Arabidopsis thaliana: one gene and its partners. The protein of the gene in region 1 interacts with the protein of each later gene in a pairwise test. Each region holds a gene or a part of one and is shown on either strand. Other genes may lie near its edges. The genes, in order: CCA1, SRT1, TCP2 and FHY3.

Region 1 (5,391 bases):
GTATGTGTGAGGACACTCCAAAAAGTGAACTAGATGTCTACAGAGAGACATTTAAAATGTTCGAGGAGCAGGGTTTCGACGTTGCAGAACCTTTATCACAGGTCCTCACGCTGTTAGTTCTCCGCAAGATGAGACGTGAATCCCTCAGACAACAAAAAGGGATGGAGAAAGAGATGGCAGATGATTATAGCAAGCTGAAAAAGAGTCTGGTGAGGTGCAAAAGCAGCTTTGAAGACAAGGAGACGGCCAAATAAAAGATATGGGGTCATTTCATGGGTGTGGTTGGATTTATCCTTATAACTTCTGTTTTTATTTAATCCTTTTTTGTAACAACTCTGTTGTACTTGCTACTGCTTGCCTTTGGCTGCTTGCCTTTCTATTTATGTGATGACATAAGGAAGTAGAGTTTGCTTATTTGTGTGGTGCTTTTGTGCTTACTTATGAGTTATGAGACAACTTAAGGGTGATGGATGGGCTAAGATTACGTTTTGGAACTCTGTCGTTTGCATATATCAAGAACAAGAGCCCCTTGAGTGAAGTTCTTTCCAGGTTGGAAAAAAAAAGATTAAACAGTTTATGATTTGTTGAATAATACAGAGTCAAATGTTACAGGAAGACTATGGACAAGGAAACAAATACAAAGGCCTCAAAAGAAAAAGAAAATGTAGCAGTGGTCTTGAAAACTTAAAAACAGAGTACAAACAACAGATCAGATGAAAATAGAGTCTCATGTGGAAGCTTGAGTTTCCAACCGCATCCGTTTGGGATCTTTCTGTTCCACATGAATGATAGGATTGTTGTTGAGGATTCTACTTTCTTTGGCTTCCATGGAACATCTTTTGTATGGTTTAAAACCTGTTCTTCCTCTACTCATTAGCTTTGAAGCATCTAATCCGATTCCAAGAAATCCTGTGTTTCTCTTCTCCTCTTGATCATCAACTGGTGTTAACTGAGCTGTGAAGTTAAGATCAAGTGCCATTGGATATCTTTGTTCTTGTTGTTGTTGTTCTTCCTCTCTGTGTTCTTCTCGATATGTAAAACTTTGCGGCAATACCTCTCTGGAGAAGAGAGCTTGGAAGGCAATTCGACCCTGAATGTACAATATTTATATGAGAAAATGATTTGAAATAAAGGAAGTTGATCTTTAGTCCAAGTAAGTACCTCGTCAGACACAGACTTCCATGGATCGGTTATATTGGAGCTGATTCTACTGCGGCGTGCATTGGACTCTGAAGTTTGAGGTTTATTAGTGTCTTCATTCGTTTCTTTCACCTCACCATTGGTGCCATCCTCTTGCCTTTCTGATGCATCCGCCTCAACATCATCACTACTCGACGGAGTGTTTGAGCCACACGAGGACCGGTCAACTTGTTTTCTGTCTCCTGCTCCATCTGAACCCTTTGCATCACTCTCAGGTGTTGCAGAAGGCTGCTCATGACAAACTGGTTTACTCTTATTTTCAACATCCTCTGAGTCCAGTGAAGATCGAGCCTTTGATGCCTCGGAGTGTTCTTGCTCTCGGCTCTGCACAGAACCATGTTGTAAAGTGCTTGCTTTTGTGTACTCTACATCACATGATGGTCCAAAAGTAGATGGAGGATGACTAGTGAAACCACCTGAACTAAGAGGAGCACATAAAGGTAATAATCCATTGGCAGCCCACCAAGCACTAGCAGCTGCAACAGTGGCTGCGGCCATGGCAGCCAGATTCGGAGGTGAGTTCCCTGGAACAGGTGAGCCACCACTAGAATCGGGAGGCCAAAATGATGAGGCGAAAGTTGCGGCAGTATAAAGAGCCGGTGTTTGTAAAAGGGTTGACATTATATGATTAGGAAACGACTGATAATCTCCTGCAACTGTGTGGGGATGACTATCTGGCTCTGAAGGAGGATGTGATAGAGAACTTGTTATTGAGCTCCCCAATGGCACTAGCACAGGGATATGCATCGGATAAGTCTGAGGTCCTTGCTCATTACCGTTTTCCAGAGATTTTGCATTCAAATCTGAGTTTGACTCCTTTCTTACCCTGTTATTCTGACTTCCCTGTTATTCCCCCACGGTTTTAGTTTCATGAAAAGTACTAATCGTCTTAAAACCTCAAATAGCAATGAAAGATTGTTTTTTACCTCTTCCCGTGAAGGCAAGAACTCGCGGAAAGTGCTTGCGTTTGATGTCTCTATACAACTTTTATTCATGGAGGATGCAGCAGAGAGATACTGATGAGTGAAACAATCTGAACAGTTGTCTTCCTGCAGAGTTTTCTCTTCAGGCTTTGATTGTTGTCGATCTTCATTGGCCATCTATAAACGAAGCACACAATCTGTATTAATAACATGAGGAGCAATGTGACACACTGCAAAAAGATGCCATATGACCATGAAAATCACCTCAGGATGCGACACTTTTTCTGATCCAAGGGACTCTTTTCCATCATTCACACCCGTTTTTGACATAAGGATCGTTCCACTTCCCGTCTTTCGAGGATAAGGATTGTTTGGTTTACGCTTAGGCCGTGGAGGAGGAATAGCTATGTCTAGCGCTTGACCCATAGCTACACCTTTAGCTTCAGCCTCTTTCTCTACCTGAGAGAGATGAGAGTAGTTTTGTTACCCTCTAAACAAACGTAAACAAACAAAAATCTAATGACACTAACAAGTTTAAATGACAGAACTGGAAAATCAAAAATGGTTTACCTCTATGGCTTATCACAAGGAACATTCAAAAATTTCTAGCACTCAGCCCACTTTTGCCACTACCTCAGAATCGGTAAGAAGACACAAGTTTATCTGAAGAATCTAAAGAAACTAACATTCTTCTGAAGAATCTATGTACATGTTTGTGGATTAACAAGATATAGGCATAAACAAAAGAAAACGATTACATCTCGTCATTTCTCCAACTATTTTAAGACTTATTGCTCATTACTAAACTCTAAAAACGTAATCTATCTATCTCCTGACTAAGAAGCAAAAGAAGCAGAAAACTTGCCTGGCTTTCAATAAGTCTTAAGCATTAAGCCAATGAAGATGAGAACATCATTTCAAAATTAACCGATTTTACCTTGGAGAAAAATTTCTGAGCGTGACTTCTTATCTGGACAGCAGTTTTTGTTGCTACATGTTCTGTCCAAATGAAAAAAAGCAAATCAGTTTGAAGACAAACCTCTGCAAACACAAAAAATAAGACATATAAAGGGAAATAAAAATCAACCTTCAATCTTCTGCCATGCTCTACCATAAAGCCTCAAAGCTTCAATGAATCTATTATGTTCTTCCTCAGTCCACCTTTCACGTTGCTTTGTTATCGTATATGGCTTCCGAGTCTATATCAAGTTTCATTAAAATTCTCAATCTTTGACACCTAAAACAATCATCTTCCCCCTAAAATTTAGTTTAATTTACCTTAATAACCAGATCTTCTCCAGACGAATTTGTCTCCATCACTAAGCTCCTCTACACAACTTCAGATCTTCTCTTTACAAAATTCCACTAATCCACAAAACAAAAAACAATCAAGTCAAGTTATTCATCAAACAATAAGAAAGACCATGACAATAAATCAATCTTAAGTACCTTTAGAGAGATGATTCAATGAAAGAAACAAAATCAGCTTGGATTCGATAAAGATTCCATTTTTAATTCCAGATTTCGTTGGATAAGAAAACAGTAAGAAATCGAGAAGAAGAAGAAGAAGAAGTGATTTGCTTTTGATCAATGAAACAAAGAAAAGAGACCAGAAGCTACGGAAATGGAGAAATCTCAGCCACTATAATTATCTTTAACCTCAAACTTTTTAATTTATTTATTTCGAGGCTACAAAAGAAACTGCCATATGTCAACATACTAGTGGCTGAAGAGATGATTCAGCTTTTGTTCAAGTTACATTCTTGTCCATCTTAACATCAACTTGTTCACAACCTTCTTTGTATTCTAGGCCACGAGTTCCGGGACTACCTGAAAGGTTAAAAAGGTCAATTCGTTATAATATCTTGATCTAGTGGGACCTACTTAAGATCGTTAATCTCTCCCACCAGTTTGTCGACACGTGTCTGATACACTAGAAACATCAGTGGACCCGGGAATCTAGACGACTACTTCACCAACAATCGAACGCGCATTCTCGTGCGGTTCACTACACGCGCTATTCTCACACTCTAATGGACCTAAACTTATTTGGGCCATAGTTTTATATTGGGCTTATTTTTTTTAGACCCATAAGGTTTTGTTCTTTTAGCATAAGGCCCATATCGTTATTCAACAGTTCAGCATTAAGCTAAGCTAACCATGCATGAAGGGTAGAAGACTAAATGGGGACAAAGTTTGAAATTTTGGAAAATGAAACAAAACATCTCATATATAGTCTTGAGGAATTTACAACACTTTGACATAAATGGATGATACTTTGAGCTAAAAAAGACCAGAGACAGAGAGAGAGAAAGGATGAAAATTATTTAGTTACAAGAAGGAAAGATTGAAGGAAGGACGTGGCCTTTGTGTTAGATTCTTTTGATATCCTTCATTCCAATTCATGAATGGCCTCAAAAAGGCTCTTCTTCTTCTTCTTCCTCCTTTGATTCAGCTGCTCCCTAATATGTCTTTGTATGTGCTCTTGACCTTCTCAAACAAAGCCTCCCTGAAACAGATAACAAACAATTTCCTCGAGAATTTGAGTCTTCCATTCTCAGTATTACATGCAACCAAACACAGAGTTAAAGAGAGAATTGGTTAACCTGTCTGGTTTGAAGACCAGGTTCTTGTAAGTGAACCACTGCCATAGAAAAACCAAATGTTAATAAGGTCCATCACACAATTGAAACAAACTACACACGTCTTTTAAGATTGAAACACTAGCGAGAAGCAGCAATCAATTTCTGATATCATATCTCCATATGAATTGCAGATGTTCGGATTCTAAATTCAGAGAACTAATCCTAAATCCAAAAGTGAAGTGATGAATCATCTATATCCTCAAAACAGGTTCATGAGAGCTTTGGTTCAAGTGATACAAAGAGAAGAAGAAACTCACTCCTGTGTAACCGATGCCTACAAGTTCAAGAACACCAGGAACCAATGGAAGCCTATCGATTGCCTGTTTCACAATAACAAATTTTGGAATCAAATAAAGGAAATTTAACACTAGGGTTTTAAGAAGAAAGTAGTATTCTTCTACTCACCGAAATCATTCCAGCAGAACCCCAAAGAGCCACTACACCAGCAAAGGCAAGAGAACCAATAGCGTACTTGTCATCCACTTTCTCCCACTTCAATCCAAACAACCAAATTCAGTACATGTAACCCAGAAGCAAGAGGTAGAATCATCATTGTATAAATAAAGTAAGAGTATTTACAGCTTCTTGAGCAGTCTTGACGATTTCAGGTAACTCAGTAGTCT
Region 2 (6,261 bases), on another chromosome or scaffold:
CCAATCTTTTTCATGAATATAGATTTCTATTTTACTTTCATTTGAGAGGAGACCATCTCTTGATGTCAAACAAAAAACGAAATTTTTTTTGAATCTTTTATTTATTCCTTAATTCCTAACAGTTAAAAGTTGTCAAACAAAAAAGTTGCAATCAATATTGTGAAAAAAAAAAAAAAAGTTTCGCTTGACACATGTTCCCACTTGAAATATTAATTGCCACTTGGAAAAAATAATCCCTTGAAAATGAAAAACATAATTATCCTTTTATTCAATAAAAAAACATAAAAAAAAAAAAAGAATTCTAACTGACGATGTCATATAAGTACAGCTAACTTTCGTTGATTTGTTTTACATTATTTGCATATTATATTAAAATAGAACAGTACAATGTATATCTAAATTATGTACTATAACATCTTTTCTTGATCATTATTAATTGTTCACCACTAGGTTTTTAAAGCTAAAATAGCAACAGTACTGGATTATTGAGAGCATGTCGTTTTATGTATTTTTCAAATCCGAGATTCCTACCAGTCGACAGATTCTGGCATCGCTTGATCATCTTGTAAATTTTTTTTAATAATATTTCGAATGCACTAGCTTCTACAAAAATCAACCGATACTAAACGACAACGAACCAAGATTATCTCTTTCAATTCCTGGTTAACTTTTGTTTCAAGAGAACCGAATGTGGACCAAAAACAAAATTCACTCAGCTCTCAAAACGCCAATAACTTCCATATTACCTATTCCGGTTAGACTAGTGTTTCTTTATATACACCAAAAGCTTTCTTTTCTTCTTCCTATGCCTTGGTTTCTTCTGCCAGAGCCTTCGATTTTCGCTTCCCGGTTCTAGAGCGTTTACGGGATGTTCCAGAACCTTCCAGCTTCCATTTCAGGTCTCCATTAGCAAGCAGAGATTGTTGACTATGGTAAGTCCTGAGACTAGTCACCGTAGCATACACAACAGCCTCACTTCTCGGTTCAGAAACCACTCTTCTCTCAACCACACCGCTTTGCCCGCAACTGGATTCTTCTACCGCTTTCTCTCTCAGGCTTTGTAGCACAGCCTCCTTGTCAATAATCTCTACATGCTCTTCTGTTGAAATCTACACAGGTTATTTGAAAATGTTGTGAGAAAAATGGTCATGAGTCAAGATAACAAAGATCTTTTATGGATCGTAATAAACCTTGAATTCAAATGGGAGGCTAAGTTGAGTGGAGACACAGTCACAACCGTCACTGTAGTTAACTTTAAAGAATATATCAAAAGTTTCGTTTCGTGCTGTTCTCCTGAAAGAGGATGAGAATATATATAAGAGTTAGAAATAGGACAAGAAACTGATTTCTAAGAAGAGGTTAGTTTTACCTTTTCATAAGAAAAGGCTGCTTATCGAGAACTGCGTCTTTGTAATTATGGTTATCTGAGAAAGAAACCTGTATTGCAAATGAAAAATATCAGAAAAATTGAATTTGATTGTTTTGGCATTGGTTTAGTAGTTTCTAGAGATTACCTCAATAGACTTGATGAATGGTAACTGAGAAGTCAATCCATGAACACTCGCAACACGCAGGGTCCAATTAATAAACCTCTGATCTGTAACAGAAATGAAAAACATGTGAGTGAGAGCTATGAAGCCTAACATCATTAATAAAAAGTTTGACACACCCAATTACAGTGCAGGACAAGACATATATGTTGCACAAAAACCATGAAAGATTCAGGAAAAGCTACCTCCGCTTATAGATTGAGTTAGGATTATCTGGAAAAGATCAATTCTGACATATGGAGGAATCTTCATGTTGAGCGATTCCATGACCCCTGCAACCACCTGCACATCAGAATAATGAAGGGAAAAAATCTATAAGACTCAAGTTGGGGCACAGTGCTGAAGGTAATCTGTTAAACATCACTTAGGTTATGTCCAGAATTTTTGAAAACAACAAAACGTAAATCTTACCTTATCAACAAGACCATGAATCACTACATTTGCTTTCTTGTCTTTCGGTGTTTTCTGAAAGGGTAAATATAATCAGTCACAAACTACACAGTCCAGAAAACTCATTCTGCCATATACATTCCAGAGAAAATATCAGCAAACGGAGAAAATTTCATTTACATATATGGCGCGCATTAAATCTCGTGCACATGAACAAAATAAACAATTACCTGAAGATTAACTATGACGATCTTGCCTCCACCTTTGAGACACTTGAGAGGCAAATTGCAAGCAGGGGTTATCTGCAAACTGCATAAAGAGGTTAGACACATATAACAAACAAAATGCAACATACTCTAGAGAAGAGAGTTGTTTGGCTAACTGATCAAAAGTGTTAAGGAAACAAACATGAGAGTTCCTATGAGTCATTAATTACCTGGTACCCAAACAGAGTACAAGATCAGCCTTTTTGCAGTGCTTCTCCGCAGGATCAATTTCTTTTGGAGGCAAAGCATCCTGCAGCATAAGAGTCATATAAAGAAAGTTTCATAATTCAGTTTCTTAAATTCTTTAACTACATAAAAAGGTAAAACTGGTGGACTCTGATTCAAAGGCAACGCTTTCGTGTTACCTCCCAATCCAAGACCGTATCTTTAAGTTTAGCTCCACACTTTTCAACAGAACACTTTCTTGATGTCTCCTTTAATCCAATAGTTTCCACCTCGAAATCACGCAGGTACCTTCGAAATTTCAAGAAAGGTTGTTACCATTTATGGTCCAATATACGGATAGATTATGACAGCTCTCAATCACAAGGGGTCACAGTATAAGAGAAACGCAATAACATATTTTTGGCTTACTCTGCTCCACATGATGGGCACATCTCCATAAAAGAGTCTCCATGCAGTTCAGAAAGCTTCTCTCTTGGTATTCCAGATCGAAGATGTAAGCCATCCACATTCTGATCATTTATGAAGGCAGCATATAAGTGAAATTAGAAATGTAAACATGAAGACAAGATCCTATCAGTGTTCAAGCACGGTAGTTATAAAGTAATTCTGTAGGGAAAAGAGGATAACCTGACTGATAACAAATTTTAAAATGCCAGCTCTTTCTAATTCAACCAAAGCCATATGGGTCATACTCGGCATTGCACGGTGAAATGGCAGAGATGCTTTAGGTAAATCTTTGCCCTCGCGCTGAAACCATTAAACACGGATCACAAGAGTTAACTTTCAAGAGATGATGCTTTACAAAAGACAAGTATATTAGCCACATAATCCAAGACAATGCAATCAAGTCAAGAAGTGATGATAACAGACCAATCAATGACAGAATTCAAAATCAAATCACTCGAGCAGATAGTCAAAGAAAAGAGGATTAAATGGCCTTAGCTCACACCTGTAACGTCCAAATTCCTTTGGGGCCTCGGAAATCAGGAATACCACAAGAAGTTGAAATGCCTGCACCAGTAAAGACTACTAGATGCTTACTCTGCAAACATCAAACCAGCCTTCTTAAAGATACTTAAATAACAACAAGAAACCAAAAACATATATTCAAAAGCACCAAGAAGAATACGAAAGAGGGTAAAGATTCAAACCTTTTGAATCAACTTAGCAAGTTCTTCAATCTGCATTTCCAAAGACAAACACCAGAGTTAGCACAATAGTGAAATAAACAATAAACACGCCAAGATCTAGCAACCAAATCCTTTTATCAGACCTTTTGGCTTGTTAGATAAAACAATGATAAACAAACAGTCAAAATCTCCACACAAATTTGAATCCAGACAACGGTTTTCACATAATCAGTAAATAAAATCACATAATCTTAAGATGCTTGTTATCACCAAATTTCATTCTTCAATTAACACAACACAATGCAAGTCTAAAAACAGGTACTGTATAACCTAAAACTAGATTATATGAATCATTAAGTACTAATCATTCTCCAACTCTTCAACAACTCTTCACGACCATCCAAACGACAAATATAAAAACTTAAAGGCTTAATATGAACCTACGATCCAAAATCAAACACTAGGACAGAACACAAGAAGGATCAACTCTAAAATCTAAACAGCTAAGCGATTAATCCAGAGAAAAAATCAACGCAACGTGAAATTATACAGAATCTCGAGAAAAATAGAGTAAACCCACAAAACCCCAGGAGGAGAAGGAAACAAAAAATAGAAACCTTGCATTGTAGAAGATGAGATGGGTCGAAGAATTCAGCCATGCCGACTTGACCAACATCTTCAATGAAGGATAATTTCTCTGCGTAACCTAAAGACATTTAGGTTTTGTCTTCTCTTTTGGACAAGAAGAAGAACACCTTCTCTGCCTCTCGATGTATAAAAAAGCAGAGACTTGGACAGTGACTTCTATTTATGAAGTATCAATATATTTTAATTCTTTTTATTATGATTTTATTATTATATGCAATCTGGAATATTTTTTTTGACATTTCTCAGAATATCAGAGATTTTAGATTTTAAAAGTGTTGCTAAATTTTTATATAACATTTCTTTATTATGTTTCCCTGATAAACCTAAAGTTTGTGATATTTAAATGAAAATCCAAATTAGGGTATTAATTGGATTCATATAAAACTTATTTTATGGCATGTTATTATATTTCTCAAATTTGTTTAGTTTGGCTAAACAAAAATTTGATATAAGAAAAACATTAATTACATTAACCTAAAATATCATAGCTAAATTAAGTGGGTGATATCATTGCAACTTTTAATACATTTCACCAATTTTTATCTATATATCATTTATTTATTTTTACTTTTTTTATGTAATCATGAAATTATGAATATGTGATCCATAATCTCTTTAGTCCCAGAATTAGACTGATAATATTTGTGTCAAGCTCACGGTTGTAGATCATCTTATAACAAAACTTGAACTCGGTTTCGGTATCCTTGAATCATTGTAAACAACATTCATCTAATTGGTTAAACCAATACAATGAGTTATTAAATAAGTAAATTTATCGTCTTGTTATTATTTAAAATATATAGGTAAATGTCAACACATTGAATATTGAAACCATTTGATAAAGTGGGTTGTAATTTGTAAAATACTAAACCATATGACAGGGTTTACTATGGATTTAAATTGATTCTATGTGACGTTCTGGTGCATGCTCAACCATGAGCTTATATTAGATTAAAATCTTGTTCTATCGAACCGGTTTGAAACTCATCACTCAAAGCCATTTTGAATTCAGTTTGGTGAATAAACTTATAACATATCTAAGTTTCATAAATAAGTATTGTTATATATCATCAATTTATTTATCAAGATTAACATACCTCACACAGTTTTTTAATAAAAAACATGCAGCATGCAGACTTAAATATGGGTTATGTTAGTCCTCATTCCACTCTCGACAAGACCACAACCCACACCATCAGAATTAATATTTCCTCGGATACAATACTGTCCGAAAGTGTAGTCACACCTCAACACTAGCTTGTGCATCATTTGAAAAGTAGTTGAATCCTACAACAGACTAGTCAAAACAAACTCACCCAGCACCATGAATGCACAAGCAAATCATGAGTTTGGTGGATACTTTTTCCAAACTTGTCCAAAAAGCCATCATCGATGGTAATTTCAAAGCGAGGGTTAAAGTTATCATAATTAAGCAGTTTATTGTGAAGGCTAGCACCTTACTAACAAATGACCCTCATCAACTTTTTTCTGGTTGCTCTTGTCAGCCTTCACTACATGGGCCAGAGCGATTGAATGTAATTGCAACTCGGGAGCATGCAACAGCTTAGTTGGAGCCACATATTATCCATCGTGTAAACCCCGTCTTCAACGTAAAATTTGATTATTTGATTACTTGAAACAATTCATAGTTCTTCATCTTTCCCATAGCAAAAGATTCATTCGACTTGTCACAATTATCTTAAAACTCATGTTACTCATAATCCATCTTCTTTGGGACATCTATTGATGAAAATGGTACCGATCGGTATATATCTATATATTCCAAAGTAATACAAATGCGTTTTAATTTGTCATTACATGACAAAAATTTGTCTACATCAGCTAAAAGACACAAACGTTTTCTTCAGAAATCCTCCAACACCCCCGACATGTGTAATGCCATGCGGCAGATAATACGAAACCGAGGAAAAAATTCATCTCTTTTTATTATAAATCTCAAAACCAAAGACCAAACACTCATCATTTTCTCTAAGTCATCATCATGTTGTCTCTTCAAGCTTCTCTCTCTGTTCCTCTTATTACCTTTTATCTATCACTTTTAAACTGTGTCAATCTAAACTCAGCTTTGGA
Region 3 (4,974 bases), on another chromosome or scaffold:
GAGAAGTGAGCAAGTGTCCGTTAAGACAGCGACACGTGCTCTCGAGACCGTCGTGAACCACTTGCTCTACTTCTTTCCCTTTTTCGTCATTTGTTCTTAATCGCAGTTATTGAATTCCACAAACCACATTAACTAATAACTAATCTGTACTTATTAAAGTTAATAGAGTATGGTGTAATACCACTTGACTAAAAAAATACTACTAGATTATTAAAATTGCAAACGATTTGTACTAATTCTTGAATTAAATTGTGCGTGTTTTTTCCATGAAGTTCTAGTGATGTGATGTGGGATTGACATAGTGTAAGTTATTAAAATAGGGGTTTGGATTTCTTTATCAATATGATTTGTTAGGTGGAAAAGAAATGTATAGGTTTTAAAATAGTTTTCATTCTTCCTTAAATATCATTATCCCGGAAATTTAGTTATTTCTACTTTAAAATAGTTTGTTTAATTTTTAGATATTTGCTTGGATTATGTGCTTACTTTGATAATTGTTTTGCATTGTCTCCAAAATAAAATTTGTTTTTATATTTTTATTAGGCTAGTACATGTTATGGTTAAAAATAGAAAAATATCATAAAAACTGCTAAATTTAGACATTTTCTCATATAAAATTTTTATTTTTTTTGTTCTATATAAAATCCCAAACTTTTCAAATTTGAACCCGAGCAATGGCTGACTAAGACCTATACGATAATTTAGTTAAAAAGGTCGTTGACGACATATTTTTCATTTGATTAATTTTTGAAATTCACACATAATAGTTACAATTTTTCTAATTTCTAAGATTCATAGTATAAGTTTTTATCGTAATAAAGATATTTTTTTGGTAAATAACAATTAACATTGTTATGATACGGACAGTATATATATTTCCATGTAGCATTTTTTTATAAAAAAATTTCATTAACATAAGCAAACTTTAAACACATAAACAAAATATAAATAATTTACTCACATATCTAAAATTAAAAGACCTCAAACCAAATAGATAATAAAAAAACAGAGGAAGGATTCGAGCTTTATGCTCAAGAGAGAGGGTCGAGTTTACTCTGCAAAATGTTCTGAATATACAATATTAATCATGTCGGAGAACAAAAAGACTAAGAGTGTAGGCGAGACCGCGAGAGTTCCTTTTTTAAAGCAAGTAGATAAAAACTTGGAAAACTAGCTTGAGAATGAGAGATATGTTTATATTGCGGTATGAATCTTTTATCTATCTAAATCTATGTTCCGAAGGAATTGGTGGAAAACCATGAGCTTTACATGTAAAGAATGATAGACCAAACCTATTTTGAAAACATAAAACATGTAGCATTTTTTATGATCGAAACATATCATAGAGTAGATTATTGAGTATTAATCGAATTCTATTTCTATGAACAAACTAAAATCCTAAGGACACTTGGACAAAGTGAATTGTTTTTTTGTTTGTTCTCCTCTCCTACATAAATATACATGTGACATGAGATAATATGATTTCTCATATTCACGCATTGATTTGTTTCTAACATTTCTATAGCATTTATGTTCACAACTTCTTGATATAATAGCTGCCAAAAAAAACTTCTTTAAATATTTTCTTGTGTTTTTATTGCCAAAAACAAACGAAAATATCAAATAATTTTTCTCACCTGAAATCAAATTACTGAGGATGATAATTTAATACAGATATTTTGTAGAGGACCGTGGCAATTCCGTGAATAAGTAATGTAATGAAGGGCAAAAATGGAAATAAAATCAAAGTTTATGCCCAATATCTCTCTCCCCATCTGATGATCACTCCTTTAAAATCACCATCAAAGAAATTCCAATTTTCTCGGATTTTTATTTCTTATATACAAATCCCTAAAACCCTATAGCCCTCTTTCTTCGTCACCTACTACTACTAACTCCAAGCTCAAGCTCCTCTGTTTCTTCTGTAAGTCTCAATTTATCTCATCGAATTTTCCGAGAAACAAACAAAAACCAATCTTTTTCATAGAAAGAATCTGAATTTCGTGTTTATACTTAATTCTGATTCCAAAAAAACAATTCTAGATCTAAGATTTTTATTTCTTGATGAGAATTTCACTGTAGAAAGAAGTGTATTTGTTCCTTTAATTTGCTTTAAAATTTTGGTTTCATATAATCTCAAAGCCAAGAGCTTGACACCTGTGATCTGCATAGAATCCAGAACACATCAATAATGATTCCTTTTTAAGAATTTTTAAATTGATTTAATCTTCTTGTTGGTTACTATGAAACAACTCTTTTTCTTTCATAATTAGAAACACCAAAATCTTTATATAGAGAAGAAAAGCTTAAAACTCGATTTCTGCATTTTTTGTCTTCTTACTCTTTAAAGCCCTCCATTGATAATCGCTTCAGCCGAAAGCAGTTGATTCAGCTTAATTATTTATCATAGCTTCTGATTCTTCTTCTAGCTCCTTCTTCTTTAATCACGATCATTAACTTTAAACCCGTTTTATCAATTGTTGTGATATGTCAGATCTACAATGAGTAGAGCATAAATTCGAATCAGAATAACTGATATCTTAATTATGTGTATATATGAATGAAAGTCATCTGTAGAAAAAGTCGATAAGGATGTAACATATATATATATATATATAAGCATTTATGTATATATATATGTGTAAAGATTTGTTCTTATGAGATTGTTTCTTTGTTTTTGTTATTGCAGGCTTGTGGTTAAAAATCATTTCAGACACAGTGCTTTTGATGACTCTCTGCAACAAACAACAGCAGCTGCAGACAAAGCTTATACGAAGCTGTATCTACTGACTTTGATGGTGAAATATCAAAAACCCTAAATTAATTTTAAAAAAAAACACATTTTTTTTCTTCTTTTGGTTTTTCCTCTGAGGGTATTCATCATCAATGCTTACAAAGTACAGTGGGTAAACAAAACAAAAACAAAAACCCATTTTTTTCTCCTTCTTTAAATCCCAAACCAACCCTAAAGTTTTGATTTTTAATTTTGGGGGTAACCAAAAAAAAACAAAACCCTAATTTTTTTTCTTTAGTGATGAGATTATTGGTGATGATGAAATGATTGGAGATCTAATGAAGAATAACAACAATGGCGACGTTGTGGATAACGAAGTGAACAACCGGTTAAGCCGGTGGCATCACAATTCTTCCCGGATAATTAGGGTTTCACGAGCTTCCGGTGGTAAAGATCGACACAGCAAAGTCTTGACTTCTAAAGGACCACGTGACCGTCGTGTCCGGTTATCAGTCTCCACCGCTCTTCAATTCTATGATCTTCAAGATCGGTTAGGTTATGATCAACCTAGCAAAGCTGTTGAATGGTTAATCAAAGCTGCTGAAGATTCAATCTCTGAGCTTCCTTCACTCAACAACACTCATTTTCCGACCGATGACGAGAATCACCAGAATCAGACATTAACAACAGTTGCTGCTAATTCCTTGTCTAAATCTGCTTGTAGTAGCAATTCAGACACGAGCAAGAACTCTTCTGGTTTGTCTTTATCAAGATCGGAGCTTAGAGATAAAGCTAGAGAGAGGGCTAGAGAGAGAACAGCTAAAGAGACCAAGGAAAGAGATCATAACCACACTTCGTTTACGGATTTGTTAAATTCCGGTTCAGATCCGGTTAACTCAAACCGGCAATGGATGGCTTCAGCTCCTTCTTCATCTCCAATGGAGTATTTCAGTTCGGGTTTAATTCTCGGGTCGGGTCAACAAACCCATTTCCCTATTTCAACAAATTCTCATCCTTTCTCATCAATCTCCGATCATCATCATCATCATCCTCATCATCAGCATCAAGAGTTTTCATTCGTTCCCGACCATTTGATATCACCGGCAGAATCCAACGGCGGAGCATTCAATCTTGATTTTAATATGTCAACACCCTCCGGCGCCGGAGCTGCCGTCTCCGCCGCATCAGGTGGTGGCTTCAGTGGTTTCAACAGGGGGACCCTTCAGTCCAATTCAACAAATCAGCATCAGTCATTCCTCGCTAATCTACAGAGGTTTCCAACATCAGAAAGTGGAGGAGGTCCACAGTTCTTATTCGGTGCACTGCCTGCAGAGAATCACCACCACAATCACCAGTTTCAGCTTTACTATGAAAATGGATGCAGAAACTCATCAGAACATAAGGGTAAAGGCAAGAACTGATGATATTAATTATTGCATCTTTGGTTTTGTTCAAATGCTCATTTTGTATGTTTATCTTTGGTTTATTTCAAAACAAATGTTAATCTCTTTCGTTGTCTGATGTGTGTTAGGGTTTTGTTTTATGTATTGAGGGTCTTTGGAAATCTTTTTGCATTGTGCTTGTAATGTTGTATTTGTGATAATAGCATTTTGTTTGTGAGTTTATAATTGAATTTTTGAATGTTATTTTTGCCATGTAATTGGTATAGTTAGCATTTTTTTTTTCTTTAGTAAATTGTTTATAGTACGAAGATACTGTTTCTTGGTATTCATGAACAAATGGTAGGTCAAGGCAATAGGGCGATCCTTTTAAGGTACTAGATTGAATCAAATCAAATACTCAGAAGAATTAAATACAGAAATTAAGAATTTTCCCAAAAAAATAAAAAATACAGAAATTAAGTGAAGAGACAAAAAAAAACTTGTAAATAAAAATAGAAAGAAAGAAAATATACATAATAATCAGGGAAATAAATAATTTTGATAGACAAAACTGAAAAATTGAGGGTAAGGCCATTATGCATTGAAGAGAGTGAAAATCAAAATGAATTGTCTCCTGTTGTGCTCTATGTTTGGTTCCCTTCTTCCTTAGCATCATCTCTCTCCATATGTATTGTTTTTATAATCTATCTATCTTATGAATATATCTTCTTCATTTGACAGCTGTTGTCTTCAACAATGGCTATTCCCAAATTTTCATGATTTTATTTCTTATGATCTGTTTATATTATTATAAGTTTTTTTAACTTTTTCTTTCATGGGCTACTTGATCTTCTGCAC
Region 4 (6,434 bases), on another chromosome or scaffold:
ACCAGAATTTTTTTGGAACAATAAACGAAAAATGAGTCTCAATTGCAAGAGAGTCTTGCTTGATATGTAAGAAAAAAAGCATTTTCCTTAGGCCACTAAAAAATAATCAAATAAAACGCCACATTTTTTTTCTACATATATCACATTTTTAATGTGTTTTAGGACTTTATTTTGAAAACAAAATTCATCTCTTTAACATTTATAGAAATTTTTGTTTGTTTTTTTACATTAAATTACTAAATCGTATTTATTCATTAATGTTTTTTTTAATAACAGTATTTAAATAATTTCTTCTATACAAAATAGAATGTTAGGCCACATTTTAATAATTTGCCTAAAAGCTCTATTTGCCAAAAGAAGAGAAAAATTGTTTATGATTACTCAAAAATAATAATAATAAATTTATGATCCTTCTCTGATTTTAAAGAATTTTATATTTATACTATGTAACCCTCTCTCCTCTCTTCAACAAGATTCAAACCGCCAATAGCATACCACAATTTTGTTTGTAATTTGGGCAAGATTAATCACAAGATACAAATTTGAGAAACCTAATCAAGAGAATTAACAAGAGTTTACAAATAGAGAATATTCTTGTAACACTGTTTCTTCACCTCTTAAATCGAACAGTCAAATGATCAAACATATGATCATCAGAACTAATACAAACAATATTAACAGAATCGAATCTCTGAGAATAAAGGCGAAACAATACAACATCCTATTTTTAACACTTGAGAAGATAAAACAGAGCTTTGGCTCATGTTCTGTTCCAAACCTAACCGCGTCCTAGTGCTCGTTGGCTTTTGTTCTCCGAGATTTGAATCTTTCATCCACAGACTGACGACTCTTAAGATTTGATTCGTGGTTAACTTATAGTTTTGTTTACGAGTGTCTAGACGCGTCCTCATGCAACTGCGTAGTCCTCACATTAGGATCATCCTGCACAGAAATCACCATGAACTAAGATGACCAATTGATACAAACAGGAAAAAGAAAGATCTTTTATTACAACTGCAATAGTTACCCGGATGTCGTAAGAAAAATTGGCAGGCCTGAAGAAATCTACTCCCTAGAAAGAACAAAGTAAGATTTTACTTTTTTGGCAGTCTTGTTACAAGATTGACAAAACTTATGAAAGCATTGAGAATAGGTATGTAGGTACCTGTCCATGGATGCCTTGCTGAGGACCGTAGTAACTGTCGTAGCTTGGTGCTATCGAGTTCAACTGTCGCTACAGAAAACCAGCCGGAATTGTTTTTTTATCCAAAGTTAATGAAATAGAAAACAGCAGAAGCTACTTATACACATGTCATGGTCGATTTCATACCAATCCTTGCATTGTTTGTTGATTCCCATAGAAATTATCGCGAGTTGGCCCCATTAAGTTCAGCTGGACCTGTAAAAACACATATCAAAACAGATTACATACGTATCTAGATAATAATATGAACGTATGTTGTGCTTAATTACCATTCCTTGTACGCTCTGCTGTGTTCCATAATAGCTTTCAATGCCAACCGTCCTTGGGCTCAGCTTATCCTGCAATTACAAAATTCAGATATGACATACTTAGGCGACTTGTGTTTAAAAGAGGCTTGCCACGACATGTCAACAAAGACAGACCATCTGTTGCAAGCTTTCTGGCGCTGCAACTGGCATAACATCCTGCTCTGGGTTCACCTGAAATTAGTATTTGGTATCATCAAATTTGCAAAGCATAAAAGCGCAAAGCGAACAAAATCCATAAGCTGTCTGCACAGAGAGATCGTAAACAAGTAAGTTACTTTTCTTTTCTTAGTTGGATTCTTTTTCTTGCTGGTTTTGCCTGCACTTCTGCTATGGTTGTCCTCCTCCACAGAAATCAGACCTTGAGTTGGTGACGTTACAACATCTGGAAGACTTCTGCCGGAAGTATTAATACCAGCACAGTTTCCTATAGCTCCTTCAATAGCAAGGAATGCAATATTGTAACTCTCTTGAGAGAGGGATGCCTCTTCATTCAGCTTTAATGCTCGTTCGCACAAATCGTTATACCGCAGCAGCCTAGTCTGCAACTGCTGAGGTTCTCCTGAAAAATGCCGGCTTTTTGCATCTTTTGTCCACCGCTTCAATATGTACTGCGAGGGGATGGAAGAAAGATGACAACACTGAAGAACATTAAGAGTGTGTCTGCAGAGATACCCTTTATACTCAAATAACCGACAGATGCAAGAGACTTCAGCCTTTGTTTGGTTCCATGTTACCATGAAGTCTTGGTTGTTTTCAAAATCCTGCACTCTAAAAGTAGAACATGTGGCATCTCGGTTCTCCTCCCTAGGACTACACGCAATCGCACCCAAAACTTCAATCTGGAACTTTTTGAAAACTGCAGGAGTATAGACTTCAGAAACACTCTTCTCAAATGGCGATGGAGACTTCATTGCTGGCTGCTTGTTCCACATTTCAGAATCAGCTTTGGCTTCTTCTTCACATCTATCTTGCAAAACTGTATCATATACCTTTACAAATTCTTGTACACTAGTCTTCTTATGCATATACTTGTCGAAGAAAGCATTAATACTATCAGCTCGTTGAGATGTAGACATCCCAGCCAAAAGAACATCAGTCATGTAGGTTGGTGCCCATTTCTTGCGGTCTTCATATAAAGAAATCATCCATTGATCATCTTTGAGGCCGAATCTAGCAAGATTCTTATACCATTTTCTCGCAAAGTCTTCATCTTTCCCTGATTTATAGATGCACTTCTCAAACTTAGGCATAAAATTATCATGTTGCTTAACAACTTGACCAAGATTCTCAGAAACCTTCATCAATACATGCCAAAGAAAAAGGCAATGCCGTGTATTGGGGAAGATTTCGGGAACAATGGAGTTCATTACAACGTCTAGCTCAGTGATCAAAACCTTTGGAGCTTGTCCACCGATTGCTCTCAGCCAGGTCTCCATTAACCAAGAATATGTTGCTGCACTCTCATCGGATATTAAGGCGCACCCAAGGACCATATACTGGTAGTGCTGGTTCACTCCAACAAAAATAGCAAGTGGCATCTTGTACTTGTTTCTTACGTAGGTGGTGTCTAGAGAAACAACATCACAAAAACTGCCATAGTTATGCCTGCTCTTTGCATCTACCCAAAATACATTCTTCACTCGCTGATCATCGCCCAGATCTACTGCATAAAAGAAGTTGGAATTCAAGGATTGCATCCGTGACAAGAAGTCAAGCAGGATTTTGAAATCCCCTGTTTCCACTGATAAAGTCCGACCTTTTTCAAAAGAACTTTTCGAATCGCTTTTTAGACTTATAACAGTTTTGTACTCAGCAAACTGCTTAGCCATTGCAGCATATATCTTTCTGGTCTGTTCACTCACAGCTTGTGCAGGTAAAAGCTCATGATTATGCTCCCTCACAAAGCTGTGAATTACCCATTTCCCATCCGGCCTTCTCTTAACATGCATACTAGCTTTGCAATCGGTTTTCGCACATGTTCTCCTACCAGCCATATTCTCTGGATCTTGCTTACTTTGTCTAGCTCGTGGCCGATTAAAAGATTTGTCATATTCTCTTTTAGTACCATACCTAGAGCAAGCAAACTTCGCATCAATAAACTCTCTTGTAGTTTTCGATCTACGACTGTTCTGTATCGCAGTGTTAAACCCCATAGCTCGAGAATACTCCTGGTAAAACGAATACGCTTCACCGTGTGACTCAAACTCCATACCATTAAGAGGTTCAAGATTCATACCCTCAGTGTACTCAACCAACTCCCCAGTTGGAACACCCATGCCTACACTGTCATCAGTATTAACCTCAACAGAAACATCCTCAATTTTGCCAATATCCATATCTTCTTCATTGTGTAACACATTATCAAGTCCTCTATCCTCATCATCTCCTTTGCAAAGGTCACCTGAATGTAGTCGAAGATCTATATCCATGACAAACCTATAGTCTCAGGCAAAACAAACGTCTTACAACACTGCAAGACAAAATCTAGGTCTCAGTACATATATCTAGGTCAAAATGTATACTAAAGTCACACACAAAAGATGTAACAAACCAGAGAAACCCATCAAAATTCAATCTTTCTATGATGATAAATCGAGAAAGTATACACATTTTGCCCTTACAATTGCAGAAAAAAGCAACTTGCAGCTAAATTCTTAGTGGGTATTTCATCACATAAACGAAATCCTCAAATCCAATTCCTAAAACGAAGCTGATCAAAACTACTGTATAACCCAATCATTTGTGTTGGTTATCACTATAAAACAAAAACAAAAAATAAAAATGAAAACTTTACCTCGTACGAAACAGAAGATATACGAATCGGAGCAGAAACTGAGAAAAGGCCGTCTCTTTTTAATCTCTTCGTCGTCGAGAGGAGGAAGAAGAAGAAGACAACACGCGCCAATCGGGTGCGAGTTGGGGTATCGATCTGCGAAAAGGAGATAGAGAAGAAGAAGAGAGAAAGAGAAGAAAAATTGGTGAGTGGTGTTCACGCGATCTGAGGAAGCGAGTGGGCGGAAGATCCACGATTCGTTCTTTTGGTGTCTAGGGTTTCTTCTTCTTCTTCTCTCTGTCTAAACGCATCACCATGTTTTTTGATAATAATAATATCTCTATCCATTTATTTATGTTATTAATAAAATAAAATTAGAAAGAAAAAAAAAAACTGTTTTTGTTTGAAATTTTGTGCAACGCGCATGCCAAAACAAAAATTGGAGGGAAGCGTGAATAATGGGAATGATGAGATTTACTTACATCTATAAGAGTAGACTTGTTTAGGCTTTTAAAATTTGTTTGGTCCACTCTAAGACTAAGACTTGTTTGAATTATTTTATTTTGTATTTCTAAGTATTTACTATGGTGAAAACTGAAACATTACGGTGAATTACAAAAAAAAATCATAGTAAACTATTCAAAATATTTTTTTGTTATTTACAAACTATCAGTTTTGAATTTGGACTATATATATATATATATATTAGTAAATGCTTTTACCAACTTTCAATAGCCAAGAGCCAATTGGTATGACTATTTCAGAATTGGATTAATTTATTATATTTGATCCAAAATAAAAAGATCAATAGCCGTCCAAAAAAATAAATAAATCAATAGCCACTCATTAGCATGAGTCACTGTTCTTTTTAATTTTGTACATATAGATTAGCTCAGTCTTAAAAACCATAGTTATAATTAGTCCCACTAATGTTAAAAAGTTTGGTAAAAAAAAAATTATTTCCTAACTTTTTTTTACATATTAGCTACAATAAAATAAATACCATTTTTGGAAATATTTTATGAATTCAAAATAAATTTCATAAAATATCATAATCAATAGCCAATAGCCAGTTGGTAATTTACTATTTCCGACATGATTTAATTTAATACAGCATATATTTTTTGACAAAAAGCCAGCCAATATCCTGAAATTTAATTATAATTATGCCAAAATTATTTATAATACCAAAATTATTTATAATTAATTATCCACTAATGTAAAAGTTGGGTCAACCATTTGGACTTAATTAAGACTAAACCTGCCACAGTAACAGAGAGAGACGATATTTTCTCAGTCCCTTTCCCTTTTCAACGAGCAACAACACTCTTCACTTAATCGCTCCGGCGGTGGCGAACGGCAACGTGACGGTGACGTTGTCGGAAAATTAGAGTTTGTTTATCTTTGCTTATTGTTGTTGGAGAAGAAGGTATGGTGAGGAAACACGGTTGGCAACTTCCCGCTCACACTCTTCAGGTAAAATCGAATGTAACCTTTCTCTATAGCCAAAGCTTCAATTTTTCATGAATCTGCTCAATCTAAAGTCACCAATGGCTGTGATTTCAATTGGGTTCTGTGTATTTTTCTTCTCAGGTGATTGCAATTACGGTGTTTTGCTTGTTGGTGGTCGCTTTCTATGCTTTCTTCGCTCCTTTTGTTGGAGGTCGTATTTGGGAATACGTTTTGATCGGTGTTTACTCTCCCGTGGTATGTTTAATGCTTCTCAAGCTAGTAGTGTTTATGATCAGAATCAATTTTGCAAATTCATAACGAGTTTTGGATTCCACAGCTGTGTAGTTTATGGCATTGATCTTATCTGATAGGTTCCTTTATGTATCGTGTGTGTTTTTGCAGGCTATTCTTGTGTTTGTTTTGTATGTTCGGTGTACTGCAATCAATCCTGCGGATCCGAGAATCATGTCGATATTTGATACAGGCGTGAATGGAGATGGCATGGTTCGTGGCTTATCAAGGAATTATGATGAAACTGGTAGTCAGTTGCAGGCTTCTCCTTCGGTTGTCAGTAGGAGTTCTACCGTGGCTGGAAACTCTAGTGTGAAAGGTTCTGTAGAAGATGCTCAAAGAGTGGAATCTGTAAGTAGAAGATCTTGCTATAATCCTCTGGCAGTTTTCTGTTATGTGTTTGTTG

What was found.
Region 2: the proteins of CCA1 (region 1) and SRT1 interact in a two-hybrid assay, tested with the Arabidopsis thaliana proteins (one study listed by BioGRID).
Region 3: the proteins of CCA1 (region 1) and TCP2 interact in a two-hybrid assay, tested with the Arabidopsis thaliana proteins (one study listed by BioGRID).
Region 4: the proteins of CCA1 (region 1) and FHY3 interact in a two-hybrid assay, tested with the Arabidopsis thaliana proteins (one study listed by BioGRID).

The regions. Positions count from the first base shown.
Region 1 is NC_003071.7:19,244,054-19,249,444, reverse strand, and holds CCA1 (circadian clock associated 1), read right to left. Parts: upstream 3,855-5,391; 5' UTR 3,573-3,854; intron 3,489-3,572; 5' UTR 3,441-3,488; coding exon 3,402-3,440; intron 3,323-3,401; coding exon 3,211-3,322; intron 3,123-3,210; coding exon 3,061-3,122; exon of another isoform or gene 2,694-3,060; intron 2,583-2,693; coding exon 2,388-2,582; intron 2,301-2,387; coding exon 2,127-2,300; intron 2,044-2,126; coding exon 1,162-2,043; intron 1,091-1,161; coding exon 728-1,090; 3' UTR 530-727; downstream 1-529. Other genes in the region: DUF4 (hypothetical protein (DOMAIN OF UNKNOWN FUNCTION 724 4)), read left to right, coding at 1-254; PSI-P (photosystem I P subunit), read right to left, coding at 4,575-4,632, 4,730-4,767, 5,026-5,088, 5,174-5,260, 5,348-5,391. UniProt on the Arabidopsis thaliana protein: Transcription factor involved in the circadian clock and in the phytochrome regulation. Binds to the promoter regions of APRR1/TOC1 and TCP21/CHE to repress their transcription. Binds to the promoter regions of CAB2A and CAB2B to promote their transcription.
Region 2 is NC_003076.8:22,565,259-22,571,519, reverse strand, and holds SRT1 (sirtuin 1), read right to left. Parts: upstream 4,299-6,261; 5' UTR 4,239-4,298; coding exon 4,140-4,238; intron 3,574-4,139; coding exon 3,544-3,573; intron 3,435-3,543; coding exon 3,342-3,434; intron 3,140-3,341; coding exon 3,020-3,139; intron 2,902-3,019; coding exon 2,801-2,901; intron 2,681-2,800; coding exon 2,572-2,680; intron 2,457-2,571; coding exon 2,377-2,456; intron 2,250-2,376; coding exon 2,171-2,249; intron 2,016-2,170; coding exon 1,962-2,015; intron 1,833-1,961; coding exon 1,736-1,832; intron 1,598-1,735; coding exon 1,515-1,597; intron 1,438-1,514; coding exon 1,370-1,437; intron 1,294-1,369; coding exon 1,191-1,293; intron 1,110-1,190; coding exon 804-1,109; 3' UTR 512-803; downstream 1-511. Other genes in the region: AT5G55750 (hydroxyproline-rich glycoprotein family protein), read left to right, coding at 5,499-5,565, 5,676-5,780. UniProt on the Arabidopsis thaliana protein: NAD-dependent protein deacetylase. Has deacetylase activity towards H3K9Ac. May have a function in the safeguard against genome instability and DNA damage to ensure plant cell growth.
Region 3 is NC_003075.7:10,162,393-10,167,366, reverse strand, and holds TCP2 (TEOSINTE BRANCHED 1, cycloidea and PCF transcription factor 2), read left to right. Parts: upstream 1-1,783; 5' UTR 1,784-1,924; intron 1,925-2,689; 5' UTR 2,690-3,057; coding exon 3,058-4,155; 3' UTR 4,156-4,445; downstream 4,446-4,974. UniProt on the Arabidopsis thaliana protein: Plays a pivotal role in the control of morphogenesis of shoot organs by negatively regulating the expression of boundary-specific genes such as CUC genes, probably through the induction of miRNA (e.g. miR164). Participates in ovule development.
Region 4 is NC_003074.8:7,821,474-7,827,907, forward strand, and holds FHY3 (far-red elongated hypocotyls 3), read right to left. Parts: upstream 4,724-6,434; 5' UTR 4,307-4,723; intron 3,983-4,306; 5' UTR 3,942-3,982; coding exon 1,788-3,941; intron 1,684-1,787; coding exon 1,627-1,683; intron 1,543-1,626; coding exon 1,474-1,542; intron 1,400-1,473; coding exon 1,331-1,399; intron 1,235-1,330; coding exon 1,166-1,234; intron 1,073-1,165; coding exon 1,028-1,072; intron 943-1,027; coding exon 886-942; 3' UTR 524-885; downstream 1-523. Other genes in the region: AT3G22180 (DHHC-type zinc finger family protein), read left to right, coding at 5,717-5,761, 5,879-5,992, 6,140-6,434.